Caenorhabditis elegans: one gene and its partner. The protein of the gene in region 1 purifies or fractionates together with the protein of each later gene. This does not show direct contact. Each region holds a gene or a part of one and is shown on either strand. Other genes may lie near its edges. The genes, in order: nfyc-1 and nfyb-1.

The links.
Region 2: the proteins of nfyc-1 (region 1) and nfyb-1 purify together in Caenorhabditis elegans (affinity purification with western blotting, with the first as the bait; one study listed by BioGRID). This does not show direct contact.

What each region holds. Positions count from the first base shown.
Region 1 is NC_003280.10:41,778-45,891, forward strand, and holds nfyc-1 (Nuclear transcription factor Y subunit nfyc-1), read left to right. Parts: upstream 1-2,129; 5' UTR 2,130-2,167; coding exon 2,168-2,200; intron 2,201-2,256; coding exon 2,257-2,346; intron 2,347-2,397; coding exon 2,398-2,658; intron 2,659-2,703; coding exon 2,704-2,947; intron 2,948-3,001; coding exon 3,002-3,072; 3' UTR 3,073-3,140; downstream 3,141-4,114. Other genes in the region: F23F1.10 (Reverse transcriptase domain-containing protein), read right to left, coding at 67-201; rpt-4 (putative 26S proteasome regulatory subunit 10B), read right to left, coding at 586-704, 756-1,483, 1,533-1,885; rpoa-49 (RNA polymerase I associated factor, A49-like protein), read left to right, coding at 3,268-3,402, 3,452-3,601. UniProt on the Caenorhabditis elegans protein: Component of sequence-specific heterotrimeric transcription factor (nfya-1-NF-Y and nfya-2-NF-Y) complexes which specifically recognize a 5'-CCAAT-3' box motif found in the promoters of its target genes to regulate their expression and control cellular identity in particular tissue types.
Region 2 is NC_003280.10:460,705-469,252, reverse strand, and holds nfyb-1 (Nuclear transcription factor Y subunit nfyb-1), read left to right. Parts: upstream 1-1,887; 5' UTR 1,888-1,916; coding exon 1,917-2,121; intron 2,122-2,347; exon of another isoform or gene 2,348-2,404; intron 2,405-2,699; coding exon 2,700-2,861; intron 2,862-3,009; coding exon 3,010-3,210; intron 3,211-4,682; coding exon 4,683-4,801; intron 4,802-5,075; coding exon 5,076-5,232; intron 5,233-5,872; coding exon 5,873-5,949; intron 5,950-6,579; coding exon 6,580-6,679; intron 6,680-7,049; coding exon 7,050-7,240; 3' UTR 7,241-7,586; downstream 7,587-8,548. Other genes in the region: tomm-22 (Mitochondrial import receptor subunit TOM22 homolog), read left to right, coding at 573-743; W10D9.3 (MKRN2 opposite strand protein-like C-terminal domain-containing protein), read left to right, coding at 8,494-8,496.

The DNA of each region.
Region 1 (4,114 bases):
TTGTGTTTGAATGGGGTAGTGGCATTTCCGAGTATAAATCTCATTCCAGAATATATCAGCTCAAACCTTTTCTTTTTCCAGCTCAACTCTAACTGCTTCTTGTTCCTCCTGGGATATGCTCACTGATTTCAGGTCCTCCAGTTCTGTATACTTGATGGATCCGATACGAGCGATTGCAGATTTTATACTGGTGCTCGCCATTGCTCTGAAACGAAAATTTAATTGAAAAGCTTCATTTTCTATTTTCTTTGAAAAAAATCGAACAATTTTCGACCTTTTGTGGGTTTTATTCAGGATAAATTGAGAATCTTTACACGAAAAGTGCCTTTGTGCCAAATAAAATTGAATTTTTTTTTTGAAAGTCTGGAGAATCGAAAAATTACTATAATATTTCGCGATTTTTTTTACGAGGCTCGTCATTATTTGGGTCTACAAATATTATTTATCGAGAAATCTACTCCATGTCAAGAACCAGCCAAAAATAATTTATGATTCGGATCTTCTTTTTTTACACGGAAACATTGAAAACGGGATAATGGTTAAAAGATGCAAACGGGAAAGGTCCAATAAATACGAAAAAATCAATTAGACAGGTTTATAGTCGAGCTTCGTCTCAAGTCTCTTCGCGTCTCCAACCTTGCGAACAGCTTTCATAAAGTCCTCGTCGATAACGAATTCACGCTCAGCACGGATGGCAAACATTCCTGAAACAAAAATGATAATTTGAATGCAATTTTTATGATTCAACTCCTCACCAGCTTCTGTGCACACATTTCTTAAATCAGCAGCCGAGAATCCGTCGGACAACTTGACAACAGCTTCAAAATCTATTTCGCCGTGTTTGGTGATCTTGTTCGAGTGAATCTTGAGAATTTCCAAGCGAGATTGTTCGTTTGGCAGTCCGATTTCAATCTTTCTATCAAGTCTTCCAGGACGAAGAAGAGCAGGATCCAATGTATCAGGACGATTCGTGGCCATAATAACCTTGACTTTTCCAAGCGAATCGAATCCATCGAGCTGATTGAGAAGTTCCATAAGAGTTCTCTGAATTTCACGATCTGCTGATGTTCCTTCTGAGAAACGTCTTCCACCGATCGCATCAATTTCATCCATGAAGACAATGCATGGCTGATGGTCACGAGCATAATTGAACATTTCTCGAATCATTCTTGCAGACTCTCCGATATATTTATCAACAATAGCAGACGAGACAACTTTCAGGAAATTGCAATCCAGTTGCGATGCTACAGCACGAGCAAGGAGAGTTTTTCCTGTTCCCGGTGGACCAAAAAGCAGACATCCTTTCGGGGGAGTGATACCAACACGTTTAAAGAGTTCGGGATTGATGAGTGGGAGCTCCACAACTTCACGAAGCTCGCGAATCTGCTCAGCGAGTCCTCCGACATCTGAATAGCTAATGTTACCAGGATCTTCGTGAGACATTTTGTAGACTAGCGGATCAACTTCACGTGGCAGCTGACGCCTGAAACATTTCGGTTTAAGACTTTTTGTTTAAAAAACTAAAAGCTTACATGATAGTAAGAGTTGTCATATCCAACGAAACTCTTGTCCCTTGCTTCAACTCTTCCTTGTTAATACTGCGACGGCATCCGACAACATAACGAGGACCATTGGTTGCCTTGACGATGAATTTCTCTTCACTGAGCTGCTTGAGCACTTCTCCTACAATTTGTCCAACAGATTGCAACGACTTGATATCGTTCTCGGATTTGTCAAATTGTTTGGTCATCTCGCTTTCTTTTTTTCGCAAGTCCTTCAACTTCTGTTCAATGTCACGGCACTCTGCCAATTTTCTTCTATAGCTGTTGAGCGCCTTAGTGCGTTCATCCTCTACGATGGCGGGACCAGTTGGTTCAACCATGTTCTGGAATTCAGAAAATATCTAGTTTTGAATGAAAACATTTTTTAATCTGTATAAGATGTAAAAATCTGAAAAAACGAGGTTCTCATGAGGAAAGAACGTCAGAAATGAAAATCAGAATTGAAATTGTCATCGTGTCCAACAGAGCGCAGTTGATCGAGTCCGCAATCTTCCGCCTCGGTGTACGTGCACACAATGCACAATATTTCACGACAGAAGAATAGTGTTGTTTTAATTTATTTTTTTCTAATTAGTTTAAAGTTAATTTTTCTTGCATCTGCCGTGATGTCGCAATTCCCAGAAGTTTTAGACAATAATGTAAGTAATACAATTTAAAATTTTCGACTTCCCAGCAAATGTTTCATTTATTTCAGCTTTTACACGCCGAAAACAACGAAACTGCCGAATACATACAAAATGATGGGACAAATCAATCAGAAGTGTTCATGGAACATCCCTACACGGTGAATAAAATCAACTCGTTTTAAAAACTTATTTATTTTATTTCATTTTAGCCGAACATGCATCCAATAAATATGCCTTCTATTGTAGAAGGTGCGGTTCATCCTTATAATAATTTAATCCATCACAATGATGCGATACCACCGGCAAAGTACGCCTCGATGAGACAAATGACAGAAGATTTCTGGCGTGAAAAAAAACAGAAAATGACTGAGATTTCTGAAGAGGATATGCTGAACAAGTCGAAAAACATGAGCGTTCCCATGGCTAGAGTGAAAAAGATTATGCGAATAGACGACGATGTTCGCAACTTTGTGAGTAGTGTCATTTTCCAGCCGATCTTCATACACTTTTTACAGATGATCGCGTCTGATGCTCCGATATTTATGGCTCAAGCAGCCGAGTTTTTCATTGAAGAAATGACCGCAATGGGCTGGCAATACGTGTCAGAAGCAAGGCGACGAATTCTTCAAAAAGCCGACATAGCAAGCGCAGTGCAAAAAAGTGATCAGTTCGATTTTCTCATCGACTTTCTACCTCCGAAAACGGTGCCAACAACTTCCACAAACGGCCCAGGCCATATGAGTGAAGACAGTTTCCAAGGTTTTCGGTTTTTTTCCTAAATATGATTTTTGTGCAATTTTTAACCTTTTATAGATCCCAACATGCATTCCGACTTTCACCAGAGAACTTCAAATTCTTCAGTCAACCGATCTCACCACAATTGATCTTTATAATAATATTTTCTTGCTTATATTATGTATTAAAATTAAGTTCGTGGCGCCTGGCGCCCTTTAAAAGCTTGAATTTATACCTTTTTTGTCTAAAAATACTGTGTTTCATATGCACATTCATATATTTTCTTATTTCTTTGTTTTTCATTTTACAGGCTTTTACTTTGAAATCTTTAAATTTGAGGCGAAATGTGGTTGTCAAGTGAGGAGCTGAGTGCGAAGAAGACGGCTTGCCACGTGAGAAATGTGGAATCCAACAAAGAATTTGCAGATTCTGATATCGTTGCCTCATTCGTGCACAATCGGCCAAAAGATTTGAAAAACGTTTGTTCTAAAGCACCTTCTTTCAAATGAAAATAAAAATCCATTTTAGCTGACATTCGAAAGACACGGAAAAGGAGGACGTAAAAAAGCGCCAATATTCAGCGTAAAAGGAGATATTAGCGAGCATGTTGTAGAAGTTGGGGCAGATGTTAATTGTCTTGATGAGGGATTCGATTTTGCTGTTGCTTTGGTTGATAAGGTAATTTTGAGTGTATTTTAGCTAACAAATTCACTCTTTCAAAGGCTGAGTACCGAAACCTGAAAAATATTTTGGTACTAGTTCTAAATCACCCCGCCACTTTTTTTCTTTTTTTTCAAATAAAAACGTGTGGAGTTTTTGTATTTTTAGGCTTAGGAAATAGCCATTTCTAAGCCTAAAGATGGAAAATGGACATCACGTTTTATTAAAATGAATAATATTAAAATGAGGGGAAATAATACACAAATAAAAAAAGTGGCGGGGTGATTTAGGACTAGTACCAATATTTTTTAATGACTCCAAATTTTCCCCTGATTCCGAAAATCTATCAAAAAAAAATTTCACTGACTTTGGATTTCAGCTTGAAATCCCCGAATTTCATTTGTGAACCCTTGAGATTTTTCAAACGCTCCAAAAATTTTTTTTTAATCAATGAAAAACGGAAATCAGCATCCGATATAGATTAAAAATTTCGTAAATCGACACATGGCGTCTCTGAGGCGAAAAAAGTTA
Region 2 (8,548 bases), 420 kb from region 1:
AATTTTCTTTCAGTTTTCCTCTAATTTCTGTTCTAAATTATAAAAATTATCGATTTTTGCATTAAAAAACCGGAAAATCAATAATTTGGCAATTTTGAACCGAGAAAAAGTTGAAAATTTGCCTATTTTACACTGAAAACTCTAAAAAAGATTCAATTTTCTTTCAGTTTTCCCGAATTTCTGCTCTAAAAACTAAAAATTATCGATTTTTGCAGTATAACATCTAGAAAATCAACAATTTGACAATTTTAAACTGAAAAAAAGTAAAAATTCGGCCTTTTTTATTTGAAAACTCAAAAAAATCTTATTTATTCCTCTAAAAACCAAAAATTATTGATTTTTGCTATAAAACACTCGGAAAATCAACAATTTGACAATTTTTAATAGAGAAAAAATTAAAAATTTGCTTATTTTACACTGAAAACTCTAAAAAAGAATATGTTTTCTTTCAGTTTTCCCGAATTTCTGCTCTAAAAACTAAAAATTATCGATTTTTGTAAAAAAATCTCAATTTGACAGTAAAAACTCATATTTCACACTGAAAACTCCAAAAAAACTCAATTTTCTTTCAGTTTTCCCTTACAAAAAGCACAATTTGGGTTGTATCTACAACGTCATTGATCGCCTTCCTTCCATACATTATCGAAAAGGAACGAAGTGATTTGGAAAAGACTCAAGTGGCTCAGCAACGTCAAATGCTTCTCGGACCATCTGCGGCCATTCAACAAGCCAAAACTGCTTGAAAAACTTGATTTTCTCGCCGAAAATCCCCCTTAAAACCGTCTGAAATTGATCTTTTCCTAGATTTTCCCCTGTTTTTCGTCTTCTGATAGCTTTTTTTGCGATAGAATTCATTATCATATAAATTGTTGATTTTCTAACATTTTTCAAGGATTTTTCTAGCACAATATCCCGGTTTTTTCATCCAAAACTTGTATTTTTATCGATTTTTTTGACGTTTTTCACTTTTTCCAGGTAAAAATCCGAATTTTAAGCTTTAAAAAGCCTTAAAAAACACAAAAATTGCAAATTTTCGCGCTGAAAGTCGCATAAAATTGAATTTTTATAATTTCTGTTCGAAAAATCTTCAATTTTTCGCTGAAAAATTTTTTCCCTGGCAAAAATTCAAATTTTGGGTCTGCTAGGCTACAAACTACAAATTTCGATTTAGCAGACCCGATTTAGAAGAAAAAACGAAGAGTTTTCAGTCTAAAAAGCTTGAAAAATAGCCTTAAAACTTGATTTTTTCGCTTTTTTATTGAAAAAAAACAAAATTTATCATTTTTATCCCAGAAAATCGCTGAAAACCCCGAATTTCGCCTATTTTCTTCGTTTTCACCCAATTTTCTTCAAATTTTCGCAATTTTCAGCTCATTTCCATTATCTAAATTTTTTGCAGCACTGTATTCGGGTTATTTCATCCAAAATGCGTATTTTTATCTTTTTTTCTTGTAGTTTTTCACTTTTTTTCAGGCAAAAATATATGAGACATCGAATTTTAAGCTTTAAAAATGCTTAAAAACACAAAAATCGTCAATTTTTGCACTAAAAGTCCCAAAAACTTCAATTTTTCTAATTTTTATTCGAAAAATGTTCAATTTCTCGCTGAAAAATTGCTTTAAAAAAATTTAATTCTGAAAATTTTTGGTCTGCTAGACTACAAACTACAAATTTCGATTTAGCAGACCAATGTGATTTTTAAGAAGAAATTACGAGTTTTCACTTCGAAAAGCTTGAAAAATGGTCTTGAAACTTGATTTTTCCTGTTTTTTAATCTAAAAAATTAAAAATTTAGCATTTTCAGCTCGGAAAATCGCTGAAAACCCCGAATTTTTGCTATTTTTCCTTGTTTTCACCTTATTTTCTTCAAATTTTCGCAATTTTCAGCCCGTGTCCACCGTCTAAAAGCTCCCAAAATGGATCCAAAACCCATAAACGAAGGAATGTTACTGGAGGATCATGATCATGGAATGCCTGAAGAAGAAGAAATAACAGAAGATGATATGAATGGAATTCATAATATAGAAGAGGATACACGAACAATTAGTGAAATAGCAATGGAGCTTCATCATCCGAATAAAAGTCAAGTTTTACTTGATCAGGAACGATTTTTGCCAATTGGTATGGGAAAACATGCGGAAATTTTGATGAAAATCGATAAATTCCCGGAATTTTACACGAAAAATTGAAATTTCTTGAAAAATCTAGACTGAAAAGTGAAAAAATTCATAAATTTCCGATAAAAACCGCCATTTTTTCTAAAATTGCCCTTTAAAATGAAAAAATATCACATGGGTCTGCTAAATCGAAAATTGTAGTTTGTAGTCTAGCAGACCAATTTTGTTCAAAATCACTTTGGTCTGCTAAATCGAATTTTGTAGTTTGTAGTCTAGCAGACCAAACTTCTTCAATATCTATTGGTCTGCTAAATCTAAACTTGTAGTTTGTAGTCTAGCAGACCAATTTTGTTCAGAACAACAATGGTCTGCTAAATCGAATATTGTAGTTTGTAGTCTAGCAGACCAATTTTTTACAATTTTTTTTTCAAAAACATAAATTTTCGACAAAAATCGATTTTTTTTGTAATTTTTTTTTCAAGAATTGAAAGTTTCTCTGCAAAAAGGCATCAAGCTCGAGATTTTTCAATTTTTTTAAAACAAAAATCGTTGAAAATTCTCCAAAAATCCCAATTTTTTCAGCTAACGTGGTCCGAATCATGAAAACTCAAATGGATCCGCAGGCGAAATTGGCAAAAGACGCAAAGGAGTGTGCTCAAGAGTGTGTTTCAGAGTTTATAAGCTTTATCGCTTCGGAAGCCGCTGAAATATGCAATATTACGAAGCGGAAGACTATTACTGCAGGTAAAACCGGGAAACTCCGTCTAAAATTACCCGCAAATCGTCCAAAAACTACAATTTTCGCATGGAAAACCTTTTTAAAAACTCAAAAACAGCCCAAAAGCCCAAAAAACCCTAAAAACCGCAATTTTCAATATAAAAAAATTTCCAGACGACCTGCTCACCGCGATGGAAGCCACAGGATTCGACAATTACGCGGAGCCAATGCGAATTTTCCTTCAAAAGTACCGTCAGGCTCACAAGATCACTGGACCAATTCACAGAACACACCCAGACTACGTACGGCCTCCACAATTTCAAATGGATCCTTTTGTTCGGCCATTATTCTTCGATACGGAGCAAGGACGCAGATGTTCGTGTGTGAAAATCGGAAAATTTTGCCTGAAAATAGATTAAATTGATGGAAAAATAGAAAAAAAAACTGGAAATTTGACTGGAAATGGATTAAATTTATGGAAAAAATAGTAAAAAACTAGAAATTTCACAGAAAATAGACTAAATTAGTGGAAAAAAATAGAAAAAACGAAATTTGACAGAAAATAGACTAAATTTATGGAAAAAATAGTAAAAAACTAGAAATTTGACAGAAAATAGACTAAATTTATGGAAAAAAATAGAAAAAACGAAATTTGACAGAAAATAGACTAAATTTATGGAAAAAATAATAAAAAACTAGAAATTTCACAGAAAATAGACTAAATTTATGGAAAAAATAATAAAAAACTAGAAATTTCACAGAAAATAGACTAAATTTATGGAAAAAATAGAAAAAACCGGAAACTTGAAATTTAGACTAAGAATTGTTTTTTTTTCAAAGATTGAAGTACTGAGAATGATGATTTTTCATTTAAAAAAATTGTCAAAACTCTGAATTTTTTGCTGAAAAATATTCAGAAGCCGAAATAATAGTAAAAAAACGGTGAAAATTGCATTTTTTCCACATAAATCTCAAAAATTCATTTTTCAGTTTTTTTCAACTACAGTATCCTTTGAAGTCATAGAAAAAATTACAAGATTCGCAGAAAACTCGAAAAAATCATAATTTTAACGCTAAAAACTTAAAATTCAGAATTTTTGGCTTTTAATTTCGGCTTCTGAGTATTTTTCAGCAAAAAATTTAGAGTTTTGACACATTTTTAATGAAAATTATCATTCTCAGTGCTTCAAGCTTTGAAAAATTAATGGGAAGAATAGTAAAAACCTGAACAAAAATGGTTTTCTCTGGAAAAATTCCTAAAAATTTTTTTCAGAGCTTGAAGCACTGAGAATGATGATTTTCCTTTAAAAATTTGTCAAAATTCTAAATTTTTTGCTGAAAGTTGCACAAATTCTTAATTTTGAATTTTTAGCGTTAAATATATGATTTTTTCGAGTTTTCTACGAATCTTGCAACTTGTTCTATGACTTTCAAGGATACTATAGTTAAAAAAAAACTAATAATGCATTTTTAAGATTTATATGGAAAAATTGCAATTCTCACCGTTTTTTTCCCAAAATTTTGAATTTTTCGCGAAACTCAGCAGCTTTGCATAGTAGTTTCAAGCGACTTTTTTTCGGAAAAATACCGAAACTTGCTCTGAAAATGCCATATAACTCCTATAAGGATTACTGTAGTTTCTCTACAAAAATAAATTTCTGTGACTCATGTCCTTCTATCCAAATTGATGGCTGGAATATCGGTATTCTCGGCTGAAACATGCAATAAATACCGTATTCCAACCAACAATTTGTGCAATAGAGCACATTTGTCACCGGAGATGCGGAAGCTATGCCCAAATTTTCAATTTTTCTAGGAAAATGATGAAAAAAATTGCAATTTTCCAGGTACCGAGACTCAATACGTGATAAATGGCAGTGAAATTGTGAAAAATGCTCCATTGGGAGAAGAATGGAATGAGCAAACTGGTACATTGAATACCCGCGCAGATGGATATTATATGGAGGTGAAAATTGGATTTTCTGGATGGAAAACTGTGGAAAAATGGATTTTTCCACTAAAAACCTGAATTTTTAACTCAAAAATTGATTTTTTTAACTCAAAAATTGAATTTTTAATTCAAAAATTGAATTTTTAATTCAAAAATTGAATTTTTAACTCAAAAATTGAATTTTTAATTCAAAAATTGAATTTTTAACTCAAAAATTGAATTTTTAACTCAAAAATTGATTTTTTAACTCAAAAATTGATTTTTTAACTCAAAAAATTCGATTTTTCAGGAGCCAATGGAGCCGATGCCGATGGAAGAAGTAGAAATTGAAGAACACGAGGAAATTATTGAGCAAGATTCACTTGGAGCCATCGCCTTGGAGCAACAAGGCCAAATGCAGATTTATGTGGATCCAAAGACGAAACAACATTTTGCAGCGAAAGAAAGTACGGAATTTTTTATGAAATTCTGAATTTTCCAGCGTGAAAATTGGAAAAATTGAGAAAAATCGATTTTTTTTTGTGAAAATTCCGGAAAAATCGAAGTTTCGCCGATTTTGTGGCGTTTCCAGAAAATTTCTCATTTTTTTCCTTAAAAATTAGAAAAATTAGATTTTTACAGCACAAAAAAAACAGAAAATTGAAATTTTCTTGATTTCCAGCTCAAAAATTGGAAAAAATGGTTTAAAACCGATTTTGAACGGAAAAAATCTAGGAAAATCGATTTTTTTTTTGGTGAAAACTTCAGAAAAAATCGAAATTTCGTCAACTTTTGTGGATTTTACTGAAAATTCCCTATGTTTGCCGTAAAGATTAGAAAAAATTGGTCCAGATTTGATTTTTACAGCAGAAAACTAGAAAATTCAAATTTTTTTTGATTTTTAGCATAAAAACTCGAAAAAATTGGTTTTAATTTGATTTTCTACCTGAAAAATCCGAGAAAATCGATATTTTCCCGATTTTTATATTAAAATTTGTGAAAATTGACATTTTCTCGATTTTTCTGAAAACAATTGTGAATTTTCTCGATTTTCTGTCAAATATCTAAGAAAATGTTTTTAAATAATTCCGGAAAAGCAAATTTCAGCTCCGAATGGCATGGAACTCTACCCTCTGATCATCCAGGACACCCCACTGCAATTGGAAAATGTTTCTGGGCCAAATGTACGATTTCCAGCACTTTTCACAGCGAATTTCAGATTTTTAGTGCGAAATTCGAATTCAGCGCCTCAATTTACCCCCAGAACCCTGTTTCCCCGTCTTCTAGCTCAACATTTTGAATATTTCGGGTTACTGTAGCCCCAAGAGTACGCAAACACCGACTACTGTAACCCAAAGCACCAGATTTTACGGCATTGGCGAATTTCGAGCTGAAAATTGATTTGACGGGGTAAATTGGAGTGCTGAATTCAAAAATCGTATTTAAAATTTCAGAAAATTTGATTTGAAAATCGGAAATTTTGAAATTTTCAGACAAATTTTTTTTTGGGCAAAAACCTTGTAATTTTGAAATTTTAATGCGAAATTCGAATTCAGCGCCAAAAATTACCTTCATTTTCCTTTTCCCCGTGCTTCTAGCTCAAAGTTTGAATATTTTGGGTTACTGTAGCCCCAAGAGTACGCAAATACCGACTACAGTACCCCAAAACACCAGATTTTACGAAATTTGCGAATGTTGAGCTGAAAATTGATTTCCCGGGGTAAAATTGGAGTGCTGAATTCGAAAATCGTATTGAAAATTTCAGAAATTTTGATTAAAAAATTTTTTTTGTTCGAAATTTAATATTTTTTCAGCAATTCGTTATGAATATGCCAGATGGACGAGCAATACCCCACGGAATGGGACAAGAAGAGCCTCAGCCAGTGTCAAGTAGCTCAGTTATGCGGAAAATCGGTAAAATATTGCATTTTTTAGTGATTTTCTGTTCAAAAATGCTGAAAAATGGAGATTTTACTGGTTTTAATGGGAAAAAATCAAGTTTTTAGCATTTTTGAGCCATTTTAATCGGGAAAAAAGTGATTTTGAAGCATTTTAACCCCAATTTTCCAGTTTTATAAAATGAATTTTCCGATTAAATAAGTGTTTTCATGTATTTTCAGCTAATTTTTAGTCTTTTTTAATCGAAAAAACTGATTTTCAGCCAATTTTTCTTTTAAAAAAAGTGATTTTAGGCATTTTTGGCCTATTTTTACCTATTTTGCATATGTTTTTTTCAGAAAAATGAAATTTTTGCACATTTTCAGTCAATTTTCCCGATTTTCAGGTCAAAATCCGTCTTCCTATGCCCAGCAGCACCACCACGTCAGCCACGTGGAACAACACGATGACGTGGAATATGAAGAAGAAGAAGAAGTAGATCAAGTAGAGGAGGATACAGTACCCGTTCCAATCGCGCCGAGACCCGCAGCCACCCGAGTTCAGCCGAAACGAACGCCGACGAAGAGGAAAAAGTAGAGAAAATTGCAAAAAATGATAATTTCTCGATTTTTATTGTATTTTTCGCATTTTTTCACCCTGAAATCCCAACTTTTTGAGGAATTTTTAAAATTTTGCACTGAAAATCACCATTTTTACCGAATTTTTTATTGGATTTTTTCTCATTTTCCCTCAAAACTGAATCTGAAAACTGCAATTTTTGCAAAAATTCAATTTTCCAAAATTTTCCATTTTTCATTGATCTCCATCGTATCCATTTCCTTGACAACTTAACATATACAATTGTAATTATTTTTGAAATATTTATTCATTTATTTATTTATATCTCTAATTTATTGCAAAAAAATAAATTCAATTATACCCCAATGCCTCAGTTTTCACTTAACCACCAAAAAAATTCGTTTCAAATCGATTTTTCAATTTTTCCACACTTTTCCCATTGAATTTCAAATTTTCAATGCGAAATTCGAATTCAGCGCCTCAAATTACCCCTATTTCCTTTTTCTCCCGGCTTCCAGCTCTAATTTTAAGAAAATTGGGGTACTGTAGCTCCAGGAGTACGCAAACACTGACTACAGTACCCCAAAACGCCTGATTTTACGACACTTGCGAATTTTGAGCTGAAAATTGATTTGACGGAGTAAAATGGGGTGCTGAATTCTAAAATCGTATTAAAAATTTCTGAAAATTTTTATTTGAAAATCTGAAATTTTGAGATTTTCAGAGAAATTTTTTTTTGAGGCGCCAAACTTGTAAGTTTGAATTTTCAATGTGAAATTCGAATTCAGCGTTAAAAGTAACCCTATAGTCCGTTTCTTCCGGCTTCTAGCTCGAAATTTTAAAAATTTGGGGTACTGTAATCCCAAAAGTGCGCAAACACCGACTACAGTACCCCAAAACGCCAGATTTTACGACATTGGCGAATTTTGGGCTAAAAACTGATTTGACGGGGTAAAATAAAGTGCTGAGTACGAAAATCGTATTGAAAATTTTTGAAAATTCGATTTGAAAATCTTAAATTTTGAGATTTTCAGACAAAATTTTTTTTGGCAAAAAACTTGTAATTTTGAAATGTTTAATGTGAAATTCAAATTCAGCACCTTAAATTGGCCCTTATCCCCGGTTTCCCTGGTTTTCAACTCAAAAATGAGAAATTTTGGGTTACTGTAGCACCAAGAGTACGCAAACACCGACTACAGTCCCCCAAAACACTTGATTTCACGACATTGGTGAATTTCAAGCTGAAAATTGATGTGACGGGGTAAAATAGGATGGTGAGTTCGAAAATCGTATTGAAAATTTTTGAAAATTCGATTTGAAAATCTT